Oreochromis niloticus: one gene and its partner. Each later gene encodes a partner of the first gene's protein in a complex. Links are inferred from orthologs where the notes say so. Each region holds a gene or a part of one and is shown in the gene's direction. Other genes may lie near its edges.

What was found.
Region 2: the proteins of pawr (region 1) and spsb1 are in contact, whole or in part, in a crystal structure (PDB 2JK9), measured with the Homo sapiens proteins. The link is inferred for Oreochromis niloticus from reciprocal best matches to the Homo sapiens genes PAWR and SPSB1. Residues at the interface, in NP_001341661.1 of Homo sapiens: Glu68, Leu69, Asn70, Asn71, Asn72, Leu73, Pro74; in NP_079382.2 of Homo sapiens: Arg77, His78, Pro79, Val80, Ala81, Gln82, Gly110, Thr111, Tyr129, Val216, Trp217, Gly218.

Annotation. Positions count from the first base shown.
Region 1 is NC_031981.2:15,987,462-15,991,380, forward strand, and holds the start of pawr (PRKC apoptosis WT1 regulator protein), read left to right. Parts: upstream 1-966; 5' UTR 967-1,176; intron 1,177-1,408; 5' UTR 1,409-1,544; coding exon 1,545-2,111; intron 2,112-3,919. UniProt on the Homo sapiens protein: Pro-apoptotic protein capable of selectively inducing apoptosis in cancer cells, sensitizing the cells to diverse apoptotic stimuli and causing regression of tumors in animal models.
Region 2 is NC_031984.2:21,424,360-21,428,278, reverse strand, and holds the start of spsb1 (SPRY domain-containing SOCS box protein 1), read left to right. Parts: upstream 1-1,620; 5' UTR 1,621-1,790; intron 1,791-3,919. UniProt on the Homo sapiens protein: Substrate recognition component of a SCF-like ECS (Elongin BC-CUL2/5-SOCS-box protein) E3 ubiquitin-protein ligase complex which mediates the ubiquitination and subsequent proteasomal degradation of target proteins.

The DNA of each region.
Region 1 (3,919 bases):
ACAGAAAGTTTTCAGTGAATTACAGAAAGCTCTTAAAGCAAGGAGTGGATGGATTTTCAAGGACAGGTCTGGACCCACCAGAGGGTCCAATTTGACCAACTGATGGCTAAAAAAAGTATGAAAACAGCAATGAAATTGTAAAAAATGAATTTCGATTGCTGAGTGGTGATGCAAAGCCAGCATAACTACACAGGGGTGAACAGAATTTTAGACCTAGACACATTGTTCGGATCATAAAGAAGTAAAATACGAATGTTTATTACAAAAGAAACTGTACATGTGAAGAGTTGTTGCTTTTGCACTGTTAAATACACATGCACATGTTATGACAGCAGACCTTATTCTTGCGAAGCTGTTAATCATGTTCTTGTAAATGGGTAAATGGGTGGCTCATCAAAGGGGACAATGCTTCTTCTTTACACTTTTTCTTCTTACCGCAAGGTAATAAAAAGTTAATTTAAAGAGCATGAATGCAGATCTTATACAAATGAAAATGTTTATCAAATTTCTAACTGACAATGGAAGCAATCCTTTCCTTTCTTTGCCCTTATTAAAGAAAGGGAAGGAGTGGTTGCAGTCATTTTACTGGTCTTGGCTAGTTTTTGTAACACAGACAGATAAATTATAGAAAATTATTGTCATACTCACAGTGAAGAAATATGTTCCCCTGTGCAACAATAACAAATGGCAAACAGAAAAGAATCCACATACAAAAATAGATAAATAAAATAACTGATGATTTAAAAACAACAGAAACAATTGTAAAAAAAATATCTGGGCTGCTTGAAACTTTGTACATATACACTTTACACAACTTACATATAAGGAAGCATGAAAATGCAGAAATGTTATCATAAAAATAATTAACACAACTATATTAACCTTTATCTTTATGGAAATATCGCCGATAAGTATTGTAAAAGCTATAACAAATAACCTTAAACCCGAAAGCACCTGTGGGAACAGTGAAGAGTTATTACACAGCGCCCCTTCTCTGCTTCGGCTTCAGTCGGAAGTGTTCGCGCACTTTCGGGATTCAAGCCGGTGTTTTCAGAGGAGTAGAGCGAGCACGGCGGGTCCCAGCTCCGCAGACTACAGCAGTTCATGTGAGAGCAGCTCGGGCACACCTGGTTGGACCGTGAAGAGCAGTTCAGCGACCGAGACAGCTCCACTCAGGTGAGTTTCTACCTGAATTTAGACCTTTGTTGTTCTCTCGTCCACTTCTCCACACTCTGACTTTCTTCTTTCGGGCGGAAAGTTACCTTAGAGATAAACAGACTTTGTAAACTTACTTTTTAAACAAAACCCGTCCTGCACGCTGAGTATCGCGAGGTGGAGGTGAGAACGCCTCCATAATGAACAGCTGAAAGTTTACTTGTCCTGACTTTATTTTCATTCTACCTTTCAGCAGCTCCCGAGTTAATCACTTGAGGAATGTGGTGCAATTAGGACGGTGGCCGAGAGCTGAAAATTCATATCAACTTCAACTTTTAAGTTACTTTTTTTCCTCACTTCGACTTTGAACTTATAAGAAAAAAGGGATCATGGCTACAGGCGGATTCAAGTCAAGCGCCGCGACGGACTTTTTGGAGGAGTGGAAGGCAAAACGGGAGAAAATGAGAGCCAAAATGCTGGGGGACATTGCCGCAGCCACTGGTACTCCCTTGGGTGCCAGCAATACAAACAGCAGCCGCAACGCCGTTCCTCCTCCATCTCCTCCTCCTCTTCCTTCGGCCACCGAGTTCACCAACAACGGCAACCCGGACCGAAGCTCCTCCGCTGGGAACTGCCACCCCTCCTCCTACGCGGTTGCTCGGTCCTCCTCTGGCACTTCTCTAAAGAGGCCCGAGGAGGAAATGCACCACCCCGTGGCACCCTCAGCCACGCCGGGAAGCAACCTGAAGAAGGCCCTGCCTCAGCCGGAGAAGACTCAGGACTCTACTCCCATGGCTTGCAACGACAGTGACAAGGAAAGCCCGTCACCCAGCAGCAAGGGCAAGGAGAAGAAGAGCACCGGGCCCAGCGCCAGGAAGGGGAAAGGACAGATCGAGAAGAGGAAGCTAAGGGAAAAAAGGAGATCCACAGGTGTCGTGAACATACCATCCAATGAGGTGAGTCGGGGGAAAAGAGGGCAGAGATTCACCTCAGCATCAGAATGGGTATAACTCGGAGGCTCGTTTTGGGATTGGTCATGTTTTTTCTCTATTGGGAATAAAAGTATTTCCAAAAAACTATTAGTGAAAGTTAGTCTCTTGTATGTGGAAATGGGTGGATGCTTGATGCTTGTGCATTTTTATTTTTATTTTTGTAAGGAAATAGTGGCTTCTGTGTGTTGCACTTGAACACCACTTGCCTTCCTACACTCCAAATTCCTCCCATACATGTGTCTGGTTTAATTGAGCCTCTGCTGGACTGAAATGAAAGCAGTTCTCAGATGGTGGGAGCGGGTGGAGGTGTACAGTATGTGTGTTGCACATTCATTGTTGTTGGATTTAAATCATGTCGCAGTCCTGCCTGATTCCTGTGGTTCAGACACATGCAGGAACTCTGATATGAAGCTTGGCCAACACTGAAAAAACACTCAAATTACACGGAAATTCTCGGAATAGATGCCCCCCCCCCCTTTTTGTTTTTTTGTTTTTTTTTGGTAAGGGGATGGTATTCTGGTGTCTTTCAAAGTGGTCTGTGACCACCTTTCATTCTCCTATTTGATAGCCACCCAGAACAATATGCCCCTGGGGCAGCACAACTTGGAGTTTGACCAGCCTGTCAGTTGGAGCCCCACATCCTGTTATTAGGTGCTCAGCAGTGCCGAGCAAAGCCGTTTGAAAACTGGTCACAAGCCAGGCTGTAATGCTGGGCTTCAGCACTCTGGGCTGCGCCAGATATGCTAGATCGAGCCCATAGGCAGCTGATTATGTAGTAAAGTGGGCGAACCGTCTATTATTGGGGGAGGTAGGAGGTGATCTGATGAGGTGGTGAGCTGATTTGTGTGAGCGGGGAAGAGAGAGAAAGAACTGGAAGTGCTGTGGTCTGAGAAAGTTTGTAGAACTTCCCGAGGCAGGTCCTTATCCCTAAAAGTATAGTGAGTAAGAGTATAAAAGATGGACGTACCTGCTGGTTTTTAATTCAGCTTTAAGTGTCCAATGAAAGAAACTGCAGGTTTTCTGTGCACTAGGCTTGGGTGCTATGGTGATGCTGATGTGCTTGCAGTCCAACACTGTGTCCAGTGTGCTTGTAAACTATTTACATACCCTAATTCCTGTCAGCGCCTTGCAATTCCTGTTAATGTTCTCTTTTAATTGTTATTTAAAAGTTATGTACAGCTGAAGGCAGATCACTACATTTGTTAAATAAAATGACAAATACTATGCAGATTTAAAAAAAGGTTCATTGCTGAAAGCATTTGTATTCATCCGACTCCACAACTCAGATTGGTAGGTTCTGATCATCATACTTTGTCAACCGTCGGCACCTGGAGTTGGATAACAGTGATTAAACTGTTCCGCTTATCTTCCGTTAGCGGTGATCAAATGGAGACCTAAAGCCCAGGTGACTGCAGGCAGCCAAAGATCAATCTTTGACTTTTGTCTTCAGCTGCTGAAGTACCTCTGCTGGTAAATATAATGTGACAGATTTCCTGAATGGGAAGCCAAACTTTTCCTCAAGTCGGGCAATCAGAAACCTGCGTAACATGAGATTAATGCATGTGTTTCGCGTTATAGTTAGGCCGGTGATTTCGAAGGAGCATCCCCAGGGACATTTTGACACGTCTCCGATGCTTTCGCACACCCGTGCCAGTTATTCGGACGGTCAGCAGGGTCAGACGGTTATCAGCTTAGACGATCGTATCAGTTTGGCAGCTATGTCAGAGTTACGTAAATGCATTTGTTTACAAACAAATTTATTTATTAATTTT
Region 2 (3,919 bases), on another chromosome or scaffold:
GGAACAGGACAAGTAAAAACAACAACAGCAAAAAAACAATAAAAGTGAATAAACAGTTGATGTGTGGGGTCCTACTTGACTTTTTTAACACTGAGCCTTCTGAAGGGTGAACTGTGCTGAAGTTAGCTTTATAATGGAACATTTCAGTAGGTTTTCCATTTACAGCAATGTGTACATTTTGTTTTTATGTCCATGATGAGGTGTATGATTGTTTAGTATCTACATATAGACTCACTGCCACTTTGTTAGGTACTTTGTTACTAGTACTGGATTGTTCTTTACACCTGGTTTATGCTTCAGCAGGAAATCTACCTCATTAACTTCCACGCAATGTAACTTGCACTTCACGAGAAATGTAACTACGCGTTGGGTCGCAGGTTATGTTGTAGACTCTATAAAGATTCCCTGCAGAAGTCTATATCAGGCCTTAAATCATCCTGCTAGAGATTTAACAAGATGCTGGAAACATCCTTCTGAGGCTTTGGTCCATATTCACATGACAGCATCACACAGTTGCAGCAGATTTGTCAGCTGCAGATCCATGATGTAAATCTCGCATTACAGCACATCCCAAAGGTGCCGTATTGGACTGAGATCTGGTGACTGTGGAGGCCATCTGAGTGCAGTAAACTATTTGTCAAGTTCAAGAAACCAGTTTGAGATGAGCATTGTCACATGGTAGGTTATCTTTGCTGGAAGCAGCCATCAGAAGATGGGCACACTTTGGTCATAAAGGGAAGAACGTGGTCAGCAGTAATGCTCAGGTAGGCTGTGCTATTTAAATGATGCTCAGCTGTGCCAAGAAAACATCTCCCACACTTTCACACCAGCACCAGCAGCCTGAACCTTTGATACAAGGTAAGATGAATCCACATGATCACAATCATCTGTTGTCTACTTTTGGGAAACCTGGGTAAATTGTTGCTTCAGTTTCCTGTTCTCAGCTGACAGGATCTGCACCCGGTGTGGTCTTCTACTGCTGTAGCCCATCTGCTTTAAGGTCTGATGTGTTGTGTAAGATGCACTTCTGCACACCTTGGTTGTAATGAGTGGTTATACGATTTATTTTTGCCTTCCTATCATCTCAAACCAGTCTGACTATTCTACTCAACAAATATAGCTGCAAAGCTGGTGATGAGTGTAAATGCATTTGATAAATACTTTTATATTTGTACACATCTTTGACCACATACACAAAAATTTTAAATGTAATTTAACCCATGATACTGAACTGTAGGACCTTTTTAAAAAAAAAACAAAAAAAACCATATATCTTCGAATTTATCTTATAAAAAATACACCTTTCACTACCTTAAGACGCCAGAAATAGCGAAAAATGTGTTTTAAAAACAAATTAGGTTAGCATAATAAAACATTTCTCTAGAAAGTGTTCATATCAGCAGTGAAATGTATTAAAATCTGATCTTGTAATTGGGTTTACATCTTCACTTCGGATTAAATATCGGCACCGCATATTATTTTACATTTTTCGTGAATACATTTATGGCCTAAAGAAAATCAGCATAAACTGCATTACCAACACGAAGCCATCTTTGCTGTAGCTGCAGCCGCTCTGTGGGGAGGTCCTAATCTGGTCTAGCAGCTGGGAGCGTTTGACCACGTGACGCGAGAGCTGTTAGAGAGCAGCCATCACCATTTCACCTAATTCATGCCCAGCCTGGGAAAAAAGGTGAGAGCACAAGGAAGAGGAAAACTACGATGGAGTAGCTGAAGCCACTGAAACCGTGCCCGGTCTCATCCACCCTGCTGCCGCCTCACAACTTAACAAGGTGTGTTTGCTGTGTGCTTTTCCTCTTGTGTGTTTTTGTGCTTACTGTGTCGAAACGTTTGTTTCGCTTCTAGTGTTCCTCTTTACATCACATTTAAATATCTGATATAAAAAGAAAAAACAACAACGCCTGCAAAGCTTCCCCCCTCCCTCCCCAGTTTAGACATAGTAACCACTAAATTGTGTCGCTGTCTTCGTCCCCCCTCCTCTCCTTTATTAACATTAGCCATATTGTGTAGCTGCTTCAGCTAACGCCGACGGTTTTTGCTGTGTGTCGGATAACAAATGTTTCGCAGGCGGTCGAGTTTCGGGTAAACAAAGAAAAAAAAAAAACGAAGCTAAAGAAAGACCAGGGGTAAGAAACGGTTGACTCACGCGCTTCTTCTTCTGTTTGTAGTTGCGCGTGGACGGTTCCACGAGCTCGGACCACACGGTCGCCAGGTCCATTTAAAACTATTAAGCCCAGGCTGCTTCTACGGTAGCTAGCATGGCAAAACTCGGAGGAATAAGTGTTCAGAAGGCCTACATACGCTCATTCACAGTCTGCTGCTTCAGCTGCCAGCACGCTTTACTTTCACACAGTAAGTTTAGTTTTTATTCAGGCTGTTGTAGATGCGTGTTGGTACCAGTTTAGTCAAGGCCTGTAGGTAGTGGCACTATTGTTATACCTGTCTTCTCTTATGCCAATAGGCTTAGTCTGTCCTCAGTTTCAGAACGTGTGTGCTGTCTATTTAAAGCTGTTTAGTTAGACATAAACCAGTCAACAAAACCTGGATATTCTAACTTGAAAGGTGATCTTCATATGCCCGTGTAAGGTTGCATTAGTTATAGCGTTGTGCTAAATCGTGGTGATGACAAACTACAAAAAGTTAAAACACAGAACAAAGCAGACCATATTAAATTCTTGAGTGCACTCCTGTGTGACACACTGTCTTTATTAAAGCTTAACTGTATGTATTCAGCAAATCAGAAAAACAGGCTGTGGTTTAAGTTCAGGTGGGCCTGGTCCAAATTGAGCCTTACAATAGAAACAAGCATCTTGATGCATGTTCAATGATGTCCAGATGAACAGAATCAACTTTCCTGGATAGAAACAAGTGTTTCCTTGGCTCAGCAAATCCGGCGAGGCCTTTCCTTCTGCATTTTAATCAGCTTCAAACCAATTGGGGGGCCCAGGAACCCTAAACAAACCCAGGCTAGAATCCCAGCCCAAATACACCCCTCCACAAGCCATCTTTTATACTCCCTGTGGGTATGTTTGTTTTGAAGTCCAAATGAAATCAGGGACGACTCCTTATTGTTCTTGCATTTTTGATTTGCCTCCTAATGTTGCATGCGTTGTAAGGTGGCCCTGTGTGGTGGAAATGAGGGGGGGGGGATGGTAAACTCCTGGCACAGAGAGTGTGCAAATTAACATGTTTCACTCTCCATGAATGCTGGACAGCCATCGAAAAAGAGATTGTTTACATTCAGATGCTTGCCACCCGCTGCTTGCTTTTTCTTCCCTCCTTGTTTTCCAATCACTAAAGAGACATGACCCATTTAAATGGTTGTTTACTTGCATTAGAAGAAAGGCCAAAGCACTGCTCAATGAACTCTTGTCTACAATTCAATTAGAGTGGCCTTCCCTGCAGCACAATTTTCCACATTACACAATGCTCTCTACAGCCTTGCTGCAACATAGGCAGAAACGGGAAGCCCAGAAAGCTGCAGCAGTGACACCTGGGCCCACAAAAGTCACATATGTGTTTGGGATATTATTTCCAAACGTATCTTGCTACTGATTGCTTCTGGGCTTATTAAGGGAAAAAATGCTTCATGCTGTAAAAAAAACAGCATGAAAATTAAATTTGAAGACAAATTCTTCATTTTTCTTCAACAGTTATGAGAAGGTAGTCCATCAGGCTTTTATTGTCCAGTTTCTCTACTGAAACTATTTCTGCCTCAAAAGAGCTCCTGTCCAGCTGTGCTTCTCTAAAACTTGTTTTTTAAACCAGACATTTTATTACAGCTTTTCCTGTTGCCCTCTGACTAGACAGCCATATAATAGGAAATGGCTGGAGTTTTTCCTGTCTTTTTTCCCCCTATTTTTGGAGGTTGTGGGAATATTTCACTTTCACATTTGATGAG